Linked DNA regions of Alligator mississippiensis. The protein of the gene in region 1 interacts with the protein of each later gene in a pairwise test. Links are inferred from orthologs where the notes say so. Each region holds a gene or a part of one and is shown on either strand. Other genes may lie near its edges.

What was found.
Region 2: the proteins of CEP70 (region 1) and NOL12 interact in binary tests that used the Homo sapiens proteins (3 or more experiments, as listed by UniProt). The two-hybrid records come from large-scale screens. The link is inferred for Alligator mississippiensis from reciprocal best matches to the Homo sapiens genes CEP70 and NOL12.
Region 3: the proteins of CEP70 (region 1) and ARHGEF3 interact in binary tests that used the Homo sapiens proteins (3 or more experiments, as listed by UniProt). The link is inferred for Alligator mississippiensis from reciprocal best matches to the Homo sapiens genes CEP70 and ARHGEF3.

The regions. Positions count from the first base shown.
Region 1 is NC_081827.1:243,542,912-243,546,881, reverse strand, and holds the start of CEP70 (centrosomal protein of 70 kDa), read left to right. Parts: upstream 1-1,358; 5' UTR 1,359-1,529; coding exon 1,530-1,635; exon of another isoform or gene 1,636-1,660; intron 1,661-1,701; exon of another isoform or gene 1,702-2,157; coding exon 2,158-2,237; exon of another isoform or gene 2,238-2,258; intron 2,259-3,970. Other genes in the region: FAIM (fas apoptotic inhibitory molecule 1), read right to left, coding at 898-1,184.
Region 2 is NC_081827.1:100,081,269-100,085,238, forward strand, and holds the start of NOL12 (nucleolar protein 12), read right to left. Parts: upstream 3,019-3,970; 5' UTR 2,980-3,018; coding exon 2,909-2,979; intron 1,481-2,908; coding exon 1,375-1,480; intron 864-1,374; coding exon 815-863; intron 187-814; coding exon 44-186; intron 1-43. UniProt on the Homo sapiens protein: Multifunctional RNA binding protein that plays a role in RNA metabolism and DNA maintenance. Participates in the resolution of DNA stress and the maintenance of genome integrity by localizing to sites of DNA insults.
Region 3 is NC_081835.1:21,411,121-21,415,090, reverse strand, and holds the start of ARHGEF3 (rho guanine nucleotide exchange factor 3), read right to left. Parts: upstream 2,283-3,970; 5' UTR 2,208-2,282; coding exon 2,135-2,207; intron 1-2,134. UniProt on the Homo sapiens protein: Acts as a guanine nucleotide exchange factor (GEF) for RhoA and RhoB GTPases.

The DNA.
Region 1 (3,970 bases):
ACTTTGGAGGAAGGTGCACAAACACAACACTACTAAGATGGGGAATAAGTGGCTTCCCACTGAGGTCTCAACCTGGTCTCTAATAGTTATGTTACAGTAGCTCCTAGGAGACCTCGGCAGGGACTCAATCCAATCGGGGAAGGTATTGTGCAAAACAAAACTAAGAAAGTCACCGCTCCAAAATGCTTAGTGTAAGTCTTGCAGTACAAATAATGAATTGTAACAAGTCTTGACAATCCAGTCCGTTTGTAAATCTTGTTCTTCTCTCCATCTTACCCAACAGCTTCCTTGTAACAAATGCCACAATTTAAATAACGTGCGAAACACCTCTTCATACCAGTTTTAAATCTCCCTCTTCAATTTCAGCGCATTTCCCTTTATTTTCGAGTCCAGACAGGGAGAAAGAAGCACAGGCTGCCCTTGTCTCAACCATTAATTATATTCTATACAGGCCGTCCTCGGACTTACAGCACCACTCAATCCTGAAAACCGTGTCTTAAGGTGAAACATTGTAATTCGCAATGCAGTTTCCCATAGGAAACAATGTTATAATTGGGGGATTGGTTTCTGAACCGATACCATCTTCCCACCAAAAATAACTCAGAAATTGTACTCAATCAATTACACATAAGTAATATAGCAACAGTGAAAGGCAATCAAGACTCGTAGTAGAGATGATCTCTTTTATTAGACCAACAAGGTTTTTTGCAAAAAAAGGAAAAGAATTTTTTTGCAAAAATCTTATTGGCCAAATAAACGAGATCACCTCGACTACGAGGCGTGATCGCCTTTTCCTCTAGACCAATACGGCTACAACCTGGATACACAGCTGCATTCGTATCATACATAGCAATCGTAAGGATTTGGAAGGACTTCTTTGAGGCGACTCGGCCGGACCTTTCCAGTCTCCTCACGAGTCTTGGCCGCAGGTTTCCTGGAGTCTCGCCTGCCTTCTTCAAAGCGCCCGAGGACGTTCGGACAGATGCTCTCCAGGCAGACGGGCGACGCCGGCGCGCCGGATCCAGCGTCGCCGAGTCGAAACCGACATCGCCAAGTCGAAACGGGGGGTGCTGGTTGATAACCGTCATCCGCACCCTTCGTCGCCACGTCCGCCTGCCTCCGAGTCCAGTCCGTCTTATTCGTCTCCCATTCCCGGGACACCAGCCTGACCTTTCCCTACCCATAGGCCACTAACGCCTGACGGGCCCCCCCCTGCAGCCCGGGGGGGCACCGCAACCGCAACCTGCCCGCTGTCTGCACTGAAACCAGCGCTGTGGGGGGCAGGAGGAATTTTTATACGCCTGGTTTGACTGGGAATTTTTTTTTGCGGGGGGGGGGGGGAAGAGCCTGCCTTCCTGTGCAGCAACTGGCCTCTCTCTACTCCTACCTCGGCTCCTCCGCTCCCGCAATGGCAGCGCCTGCACCGGCCCGAGCGGGCCCCGCGGCGCCGCCGCCTCCTCCGAGCCGCGGGGCTGCGTGACTGCGCGCGCAGCGCCGGAAGCCGGAAGCCAACTCCTTCGGAGCGGCGGATGAGGGGCTGTGCAGAAAGCTCGCAAGCCGGAAGACGGTTCCTTCCGGGGCGGGGCCACAACAGGAAGTCAGAGGACAGGAAGCCGGAAGCTGGATTCCTTTCGGGTGGGGTTATCGGCGGCGGGTGAGGGTGAGGGGTTTAAGGTCTCCTACTAGACCGGGGTTGAGGCCTTCCCGGTCGGGGCCAGCCCTGGTTTTCCCCCAGGACCTTGGAGGGCCCCCCAGCTGCTGAGCTGCCTCCCCCACCCTCTGGCTGCTCTCTGGTTTCCTCACGGCCCAAAGAAACCCAGCGCCATCAAAGAGGCATTTCCTGGGCATCCTCTGCCGAGCTACCCAGTGCCCCGCTGCAGGGTGGTCCTGAAACGCCCCCCCGTCCCGCCGCTGACCCTTGGGGTCGCGCTAGAAAATCTGTGCAGATATTTGTCATTTAAAAAAAAAAAATCTGGGTCTTCAGGGATATTAAATTCTCGTTGGCAGCCCAACCGCGACCTTCCCGGCATGGACCGCGGCTCTGATAATTTTTTTAGTTGGCCCTTGCAAAATATCGTTCCGCAGCAGATGTCGGTGTCGCTGTCCTGGGCTTGTTTTCGGACTCATTGGTTTTCTCCTTCCTGATTTTTTTTTAAGCAGCGTCACGAAGGAGAGCCGCGGGATGCGACAGCCGGTCCCTGAGCGCCGCGACACGGGAGCTGCTTGTTATGGCTGAGGTAGAGCAATGAAGCTAAGCGGTGTGTTGCGTGTACAGCGTAGTTTCTTATAGTTTTGTCGTTTCTAGGGTCGGACGGGACCTGAACAGATCATCAAGCCCGACCCCCTACCCCGGGCAGGAACGAGTGCCGGGATCGTAGTACCTCAGCCAGATATCTGTCCAAACTCCTCTTGAAAACCCCCAAGCAGATTAAGTGAAGGTTACCTACCGGATGCTTTGTATTAAAAAACATTTCTAATGTTGGTGGCCCACTGTTCGATGTGCAATAATTATTTTGCAAACAAATGAACACCAACAAAAAAAAAGAGATCTTCAAAGAAGCAAGACTCCGCCACGCACACCAGATCATGGTCCCCTACTAGTTGTTCTGCCTTCCCCCAAAAAAGGGTATTCATAGATTTCATTGATTTGAGAGTCAGAAGGGACCTATTAGATCATCGAGTCTGACCCGAATTGAATTACCAACTGCTATGTTTGTAATATAAAAAGGCTAACCATTCTCCAACATAAATTTCCTCTTTATCCACTATGCTCATTCAAATCCTTGATGGGGATCGTAGGCAGACAAGGTTCCTTGGGTGAATTTGATATCTTTTATTAGACCAACCCAAATGGTTGGAGAATAGTTATTAAGTAAGCTTTTGGGTTCAAAACCCCTTCATCAGGCTAAGGAAGCTTCAGCAGTTGGTGTGTGCTCTGATGGGAATCGTGACTTTCAAAAGCATTTCGAGTGTCTAATGACTTTACTTCTGAAAGATCAGACCCTGTATCACTATGTGTAACTGCAAGAAATAAGTACAGGTCAGTCGCATCTTACGCAGGGGTTACGTTAAAGTCGGTGCGTAAGGCGAAAATCGTGTATAGTGAAATCGCATATTACCATGCCAGCAGTGACTGCCTCTGCCTCCAAAACCTCCCGCCGCCGCTGCGGAGCCGTGCTTAGAGCTGTGTGGCTGGCGGCGGCAGTGCAGGGTGGGGATGGCTGCGTGCCGCCCGGGCACCACCATGCTGCTGCTCCCACCCGGCGGCCAGCCACAGCTCCGGGCACACATGCAAACTCGAGCCCTGCCCCCCCTCCCACCCCACGTATAGTTGAATTCGCGCAAGTTAAATGTGTGTATGATGCGACTGACCTGTATGGTGTTTTGATGCATTAGAATTGAATGTAGGTAAATGTTGATCGTAGGAAAGAAGAGGGAAAAAAATAGTACATTGATAGAAATACTCTTCCCCTCTTGCTTTTGTTATGAGGTTACTCATATTTTCAATATTTATTGTTAAATTTAAAGTGCCAGACTTAAACCTATTTTGAATGATAGTTCTGGAAAAATATTCAGAAATAGGGGCAAAAGTTCGGCTCTAAATCCATAGTTAGGTATCTAATAGGATGGCCTGATATTTCTACAGTGTTGAGCAACCATCAATACCCACTCCCACCATCTTAGTTTTGGCCCTTTTATCAAGCGTTCTCTGCAGATTAAATTGTATCAATTTAAAAATTCTAGTGCAGCTCAGTGTAAGGTGGTGTCTATAAACAGTGGGATTTATCATGCAGTTCACATCAGGTGTTTTGGTCTGAATTTTTATGTGATTGGAAATAGAGACGGTTTCCTTTTTGTCTGACTTGATACCTGCAAGGGACCTGATTTTTTAGAGAGGGGGTGCATAGGCTTTTCTGAAAGTCAGGCCTCTTCTAAGGTGTTTCAAGTCAAGCGCCGAGAAATTGAGCGC
Region 2 (3,970 bases), about 140 Mb from region 1:
AATGCAGCAAAGACTGGATGAGATCCACAGCAAATAATCCTACCTCATGAGTGGTAAGTCCTAGTTGGCGTGCTCCCGAGAGGTCCAGGTCACTGATGGTGGTCACTGTTACCGTGTGGTTTGGGTGATCAATATTCACAGACTCTGTCTGGGATGTCACCAAATGCTCCAGCTCATCAGCCTCATCTACAGAGAGGAGATACTCTATTGTCCATGCAGGAGAGGCATGTACAGTCTTACACAGACCAGCTGGGCATCTCAAGCTAAAACACTCTAACTCCGTTTACTAAGCTCTGAGGGGTGGAGACCCCAAATCTTGTAAGTTGGCCACTGAGAGTTGAAAGGCTGCAAGTCTGAAGTAATAGAGGCAGGTAACAGTTCACTACAAGCAAACATAGTCTCTCTTCACAAATGGAGTTACACGCCAACAGGACCTTAAGGATTTTCTCTAAGTTATTCCTTTACATACAATATGCCTGTCACTTCTACAATATGCAGCCACCCTCCTTCCAGCCAGTGAATGAGGGGTTGTTCTTCAAAGCACCTCACCACTGCTTCTCAGTGAGACACAGGAGTAATAAGATGCCATTACTGCTGAGTCTCTGCTGTACTCCCAACTCCCACCATTCCCAGGGACTAGAAGAATGGATACATATCCCCATGGCAAAACAGAAAATAAAACCCTAAAGCATCAGATTGAGCCTCAAATTACAACCTCTCCTTCTAGGTTCAGCACCCTAGCCAATTTCTTGCAAACCTCAGACTACCATTTCACGTCTAGCAAACAACATCAACCATGGGAGGAAACACTCACCAAGAGCCTCTTCTCTCTCTGTCAGCATTTTCAGGTACTCCTTGTGCCGCTAAAAAGGAAGCAAAAATCATTGCAGTACTTCTATTTTACTAGCTGCCATCTATGCCCCCTACTCTTAAAGCCCACAGCACATGGGTACACCCCACCCTCTACAAGAGGGCTAGAGGAAGCTGCAAAACAGTTTAAGGAGTTGAGAATTCTTATACTGACAGTATGGGCTACAGCTTCCAGAAAAGGTGCTGCCTAAACTCCTTCCATTAACACCCCTGTCTGTGTACCTCATGTCTGCCCTCCCAACACCCTCTGCCTGTCCTTGTGGTCCTGGAACCACCACGCAGCCCTGCTGAACCACACAACCCTTCTCCTGCAAAACCTCTGGCTAACTCCATTCCTGCCTTGTTCCTCTCTGGCATCCTTTTAACAAATACATTTTACCTGTGCCTGCATCCCCCTTGCAATTCCAGATGGGGTCCCCCAGACATACTATGCAACCCTGACCATAAAACCTTGAATCACCACTTCTAACCAGCTAGCCACACAAGCCCATGGAGAAACAATACCTCCTCTTTCATCTTCCTTTGCTCTTCTTTCAGTTTACGTTTGATTTCCTCCACAGCTGCTTTCCTTCGCTCTACTTTCCGCTTGTGGAATCCAGTCAGGTACTCTCTGCAACATAAAAACAACATAAGCACATAAGAATTGCCATATACTGGGTCAGACCACAAGTCCATTTCGCCCAGTATTCTCCATAGAGCCACTGCCATGGGTGCGTACCTGGCATGCTTCACAGACTCCCCCGACACCTGCCCCTTGTACAAGCAAAAGGAGACCCAGCTGCATGCCTACCTCGAGTGTGCCAGGCTGCAGCCCATCCACCACTTCCTCCGCAACCTCTTGCTGAGGTTTTGGCTCCACTACTACCCATACCTTTTTGTTTATGCACTCCCCATCCATAACCCCACTAAGTCCAGGGACCTCCTAGTCAACCTCCTCCTAGCTTAGCCAAGCTAGCTGTCTACCTAGCCAGGCAGGAGACTCTTGCTGGGAGGACCCAAGGGACTGCAGGGCCATTTTCTTGTCTCTGGTTCGCTCTCATCTCCAGGCAGAGTTTTACTGGGCAGTGTCCACTGGCTCCTTGGATGCATTTGGGGGCTAGTGAGCATCGTCTGGTGTACTCTGCACTTGTTTTAAAACTTTGACCTCACTCCTGTCCCTGTTTTCTCTTTAGCTATCCCTCAAAAATCAGCTGGTATGTCCCCAGTGGCCTCCCTACTAAGGGAGGCTTATAGTTGCTCCTTGATAGGCCCAAGCCCATGATCCACTAGGCATATCAAAAGGCTTGTCACCAGGCAGAGATCAGGTGCTGAACAGGAGAGTGAACTGGGTATGACCAGGGTTTACCACCCCCCACCCGCCGGTTCCTCTCTCACTTGCAACCTCAATGCTGGCATTTAAGGTGGAGGAAGTTCCAATTCAGAACCCATGCCCCTCACTCCCGCGCTCAACCACTCCTGATGCCCCTTCTCTCCAAGACTTGGGCCCACCCACTCCTTTCAGACTCTGGCTAAGCTGTCAGCTTCCCCAGCACCGTGAGGCTCCGTGCTGAGTGAAAAAAAAACAGGCACGGTGCAAGTTAGGCCAGCAGTTCCCCATCATCACAGATGCAGGGTACCCTCCAACAGACTCCAGATACCCGCAGAAAAAACACCAGCACTGAGCTTCTGCTCACTTCTCGACTAGGAGGAGAGAAGGGAGCAGTTTTCCGGCAGCAGAGAGCCGGGCTCGGAACACCACCGGCCTTGTGGGTTCCTCTTGGAAGCACCAGGGTTTTTCTCCCACACGGTGCAGAGGTGTGCTCGGAGAGCAGGGCTGCCTTACAGGGACCTGACGGGAACCCCGGCTGAGAATCACCGGGTGCCTTGCCCCTTCCAGCACCCGCAGGAGGCAGGGGCCCAGCTCAGCACGGCCCGAAGCTCTCCATGGGGTGGGGACCAGGCCGCCCCGCGCAGACCCCCTCTGCTCAAGCTCCTATGAAGTGTCCCCAGGGCGAGGCAGGGGACTGCCTGCCTCGTGGGTGCGGCAGAAGGTGCTCACCGCCGCTGCTCCTCATCGAAGACCACAGCCCGCCGCGGCTCCCCACGCCCAACAGGCCTCCTGCGCCCCATGCCGGCCCGCGCCCGCGCTGCGCCTGCGTCGTCCCGCCCCGAACCACGTGACCCCGCCTCACCCCTCCCCCCTGCTGCTGCTGCAGCAGCAGCAGCTAGAGGGCCCCGCCCCGCCCGGGTCCGAGGCGGGAGTAGGCGGAGTTTGTTCCAGCACGCGTGCCCGGGTTGGGTGGAGGGATGTTCGCTGCTGTGCTCTGGCTCTGCTTTCCTCGGGGGGCGCTGAGGGCATGGGGGGAGCATCCTCACAGCTAGCACGGCACCGCTTTTCTTCCGTTCAGAAACCAGAAGCTACTGGTATGCTCAGACAGGGGTTTTTTAATAACTGTCTGCTTTGATCTGCCAAGTGAACCACCACAGCTACTTGGTGGAGTGTTGGAGGTAGAGTTTACATATATATGAACCTTGTTTTGGTTTTTGTTTTTTTGTTTTGTATATATGTATATGTATTTGCAAAACAAACCCCCCCAAAAAACCCAAAACAAGGTTCTTTGGGTAAATGGGAGTCTCCCTTTGCCTGAAGAACTGGTGTATTTGGTAGCCGTGCCAGCCTGAGACTAAAGGAAATGCAAAACCCTAGACCTTTTGGTTCAGAGATGATGCCTTCTATTAGAGCAATCAAGAAACTGCAAAAAAAGAAAAAGAATTTTTTTTTTTTTTGGCAAGCTTTCAGGCTCAAATGCATTTTGTTAATCCATTTTGGTGATCCATTTCCTTCCTCAGGCTCTGGGAAAATTAAAGAGGGTCAAAAGTTCCCCTAGGTGGGAAATAAACTTTGTTTTAGCACTTTATGCCTGAGGAAGGGCGCTTGTGCCTGAAAGCTTGCAGAGCACTTTGTTCCAACTCCTTGGGTGTAATGAAAGAGATCGCATCGACCCAAGGAACCTAGCCTGCCTTCGGGAAAAGGTGGTTTATTTTATTAGACCAGCTGAATAGTGGAAAAAAAATTGTTCTTTGCAAGCTTTTGGAGACAAATGCCCTTGTTTACTGGGAA
Region 3 (3,970 bases), on another chromosome or scaffold:
ACAGTACTCAATTGCAGCAAGCGGTAACTTTGAAGTACAGACACCAATGCCACCCAGCAATGGAAGAAGCAACTCACAGCAAATAAATTAACCTCAATATTAATAATGCCTTCCAAAGAACATGCTAAAACTCCAGAATTCTTCTCATGTTGAATTAAAAATTGCTTCAGATTAGATACATTCATAAAGATTGCAACCCCAGAAAAGCAGATACAGAATACACTTGAAGTATATTGTTACCTTCATTTATTAGTCAGCTGCCAAATAAATTAACTATCAGAAATAAAGAGAATAGACAGAACTTTAAAGTTCAAGTGCAGACTCCAAGGTTCAAGCCCAGGTGTGCGGGCTGAGTGCATTACAATCAAAAATACCTACGAATAAAAACCTGGAGGCCTAGGGTTAGTTGTTATCTCCATATTTAGGCATCTGAAGCTGCCACTGACTTCAAATCACAAATGGCACAAACAAACAGATCGTAACTATGAGCCCTGTGTTTTCATAGCTTACTTGCTTAAAAGCAGGGCCGGGGGAACAATCTTCAGAGCAAACCCCTCCAGGTTTTACGCACAAGCTAAAGCTTCCAGCTTGGAATCCAGCCAGACCGACCAGCACAAAACCAAATCTCAGAGTGAACTGCAGACTCCAAAAACGGAACTGAGGTCTGAGTGCGTGTGGGAAGGGAGGCCAAAAGATTACAGTACACATGTTACCTTGGCACATCACAGGGCCTTGCTGTATTGTTGCTTTTAAACTCCTCTCAGAAACAGAGAGAGATTTTCCTATGTAAAATTACAGGCACAGTAAGCACCAAAGTAACAAACTAAAAAAAAAAAATTAAAAAAAAAAAGGGAAGATATGTTTTTTATATAGCTGCCTATGCGGTCGGGTCTTCCCTTCAAATTACAAAACTTCTCTCAAGTTTTCTCTACATTTTCACACGCTATGGCAAATCACTGCAGACTATCACACCTGACCCACCCATTTCCACCCACCACAGTCTCCTATGTGCATGTTACTTCCAGTTGTTTCATATTACAATTTATCTCATAGCTGGATAGCAGAAAGTGTTGATATCAGCCTGATTTAGTGGCTAGAGCTATGCTAATTTAGACTGTGATTTTGTATCCAACTGCAGTGGGGGAGACCCAGGCATGGCATCTGTGCTCATCCTCAGCATTCAGGTCCTAAGGAACCAAATTCTGTACCATGGGGGCAGATCCATGTTGCACCCCACTCTGATTCCAGCAGCAGCAACATTTCTGGTCAAGCAGCACTGAGGAAGTCAATTGACTTTATGGCTCATTATAATCTACCTGATCCCTTCTAAACATTTCACTCCACAGGTGTTACCGACCCTCTCTGCTTCTGAATGGTTTCTCTGTCCCAGCCGCCAGCCAGCCTTTGTTCTGCACTGCGACTGTCAGCTGCTCCTGGTCCCGATGCTCCTACTTCACAGCCTCCCAGGTTGTCTTTACCTCATTCCAATAGAAATTATATCTGTTTTTCCTTTCACCTTAAACAGAATAGTCCAGCCCTAGGCCCCGAGCATGGTAGTTTCTACCTGGAGAAATATACTGTATTTACTCGACTCTGAGACAGCCCTGCATTTAACTTACCCCTCCTCCCACTCCATTAGACTCTATAGATAGAAAATGTATGAGTTTGTCATAATTGTTTTGTTATCGGAGGGTCATCTTCAATTCATCCTCCCAACTGGTACAGAAGGGAAAGCAGCGGCTGGGAGAGGGGAGGATCAGGTAGCTGGGAGAGGGGAGGTCATCGGGCAGGCCGCCCCCCCTTGGCCTCTGCCCCCTTCCTGCCCCCCTCACGGTCAAGGCTGCTGAGGCCGCTCCCCCGCGCGCAGCCCCTGCCGCCGGCGGGGCAGAGGGGACCAGGGGGGCAAGCGGCTGCTGTGGGTCTGACCCAGGCTCAGGGCGGGAGTGGGAACCGCCCCCCCAATCCCACTGCGGCTCGTCTTAGATGCGAGGCACTGGGGCAGGGCAGCCTCTCTGGGGGACGAGGCGGCTCAGAGCTGCCCCCTCCGCAAGCCGCGCTCAGCCCCAGCCCGTCCCGCGAGGGCTCCCCGCGCCCTCCCGGGTCACGCACCCGCCGGCCCCCCGCGGCCACTCACCGCCCCGGCCGGCGACTCCGCTCCGGCTCCGGCTCCGGCTCCCGCCCGCGCTCTCTCGCTCTCCCTTCCTCATTCCCCGCCTCTCCCGGCGCGGGGAGTTTCCTCGGCGGCGCGGGCTTCCCCGGCGCGGGGCCGAGCCGCCGCGCCGCGCCGCCCCTCGCCGCTCCAGCGACGGCCCGGCCCGGCCTCTCCTCTCGCAGCACCAGCCCGAGCCGGGCCTCCCGCGACCCCTGCCCAGCCACGGAGAGCGCGGGCCAGTGCAGGGGGCAGGAGGACGCCCCTGCCCGAGCCGCCGGCCGCTCTCCCTCTCAGGCGAGTAACTGGCCACAGGCGTCAAGGGGGAAAACAAAAAAAAGGCAAAATGCACGGGACGAGGGAAGTCCCGTGACTGCCGGGCGAAGGGGAAGCAGTCAAATCGAGAGTTGAAACGTTCAAAAAAAATGGAGACTTAACCTCCCCCCCCCGAAAAAAACCCATGAATTAAAATGAAGGGGACTGCAGGCAAGGGTGAGATTCGGCTGCCTTTAATCATTTATGTTTCCATCAAAAGGCAGCACTGAAAAAAATAAATGCAGAGATGATACCAAGCATTGGGTTGTGGAGAAAGGAGCTTGAACTAGCAGCAAATGCACTGCAAGAATCCTTTTTGGTCAAGGGAAATTAGGGGAATTACTAGGAAACAACGTGCGACAAAGATGAGTGGAAGTACCATAGACTGGGGAAAGGACTGATTGTTTGGTAGGCGCTGACCAGGAACCAACAGAGTAGCGCCCTGATCCAGGTTGTTATTTGTGTTGTTATACCTAAAGACACAGACAGGGGGTACACAGTAACCCCAAAACTCTCTTTTGCCCCTTCCTCCTCTCAAAACTGGCAAAAAAGTTGGTACACAGTGCATTGTGCAGCGCTTTAAATTCCCCAGTAATAATGTGGTGTACTGTGCTTTGTGCAGCACTGGGCTCAGCCCTCCTAGCTTTAACCAACATCACCTCTAGCTCAGGTACATACTCGAGTTGTGCACCCCTGGTGCAAAAGGTGGCAATCCTACCCACACCAGATCAGACATCTGTCATGTCATGCCCTTATATATACAGCTGTTCTTCCAAAATATGGCACACAGTCTGCAAATATAATATCCCCTGGAAAATTGAGTGTTGGGGTACTTATTAACATTTTCATAAGTTAGGGGGCACTTGCTACTTAAAAGGTTGAGAAACACTGAGCAAAACGCACCAAATGACCCTCACCAATGAAGCGAATGCTGGACTGTAGTACTGCAGAAACAGGCCTATGTTCCATCTGCCAGATTGAATAATTTCGATTTTTTTTCCATCTGACATTTGAAAGGTTAATGCCATCTTAAAATAATGTTAGTGAAGTAGTAAAGGAAACTTTAGAAATGTAAAGAAACAACATGCTAAAAAATGTCAAAAGGAGCAACTTGCTATACAAGGTGGCATTAACTGTGTGATAAATGTAGATGTGCTGTACATGCAAAGTAATTAGCACACAACAAAAATGGCCAATCAGCCACAAAGATGTTGATTGGAAGTGTAGAACTTTTTGTAGCTGGTGTCCATCTGGTTTTAATTTGAATGCGTGGCATGTGATGGGTCTCTGCTGTTTTCTGGCATCCCAAGCTGCATTGTCCCTTCCCCACCTCACCAACCACATAGCAGCCAGGGCTGTGAACACCACCTAAGCTCTGAAACGCAGGTCTCGCGATGTTTCTTCCCCTCCTCCAACACAAAGCAAAGTGAGACAAATCCCTCCCTGGGTGCAGAGGTGGTGCTGGGGCTGCCCTATCCCAGGGCTGAGCAAAGTATGGGGAAACGG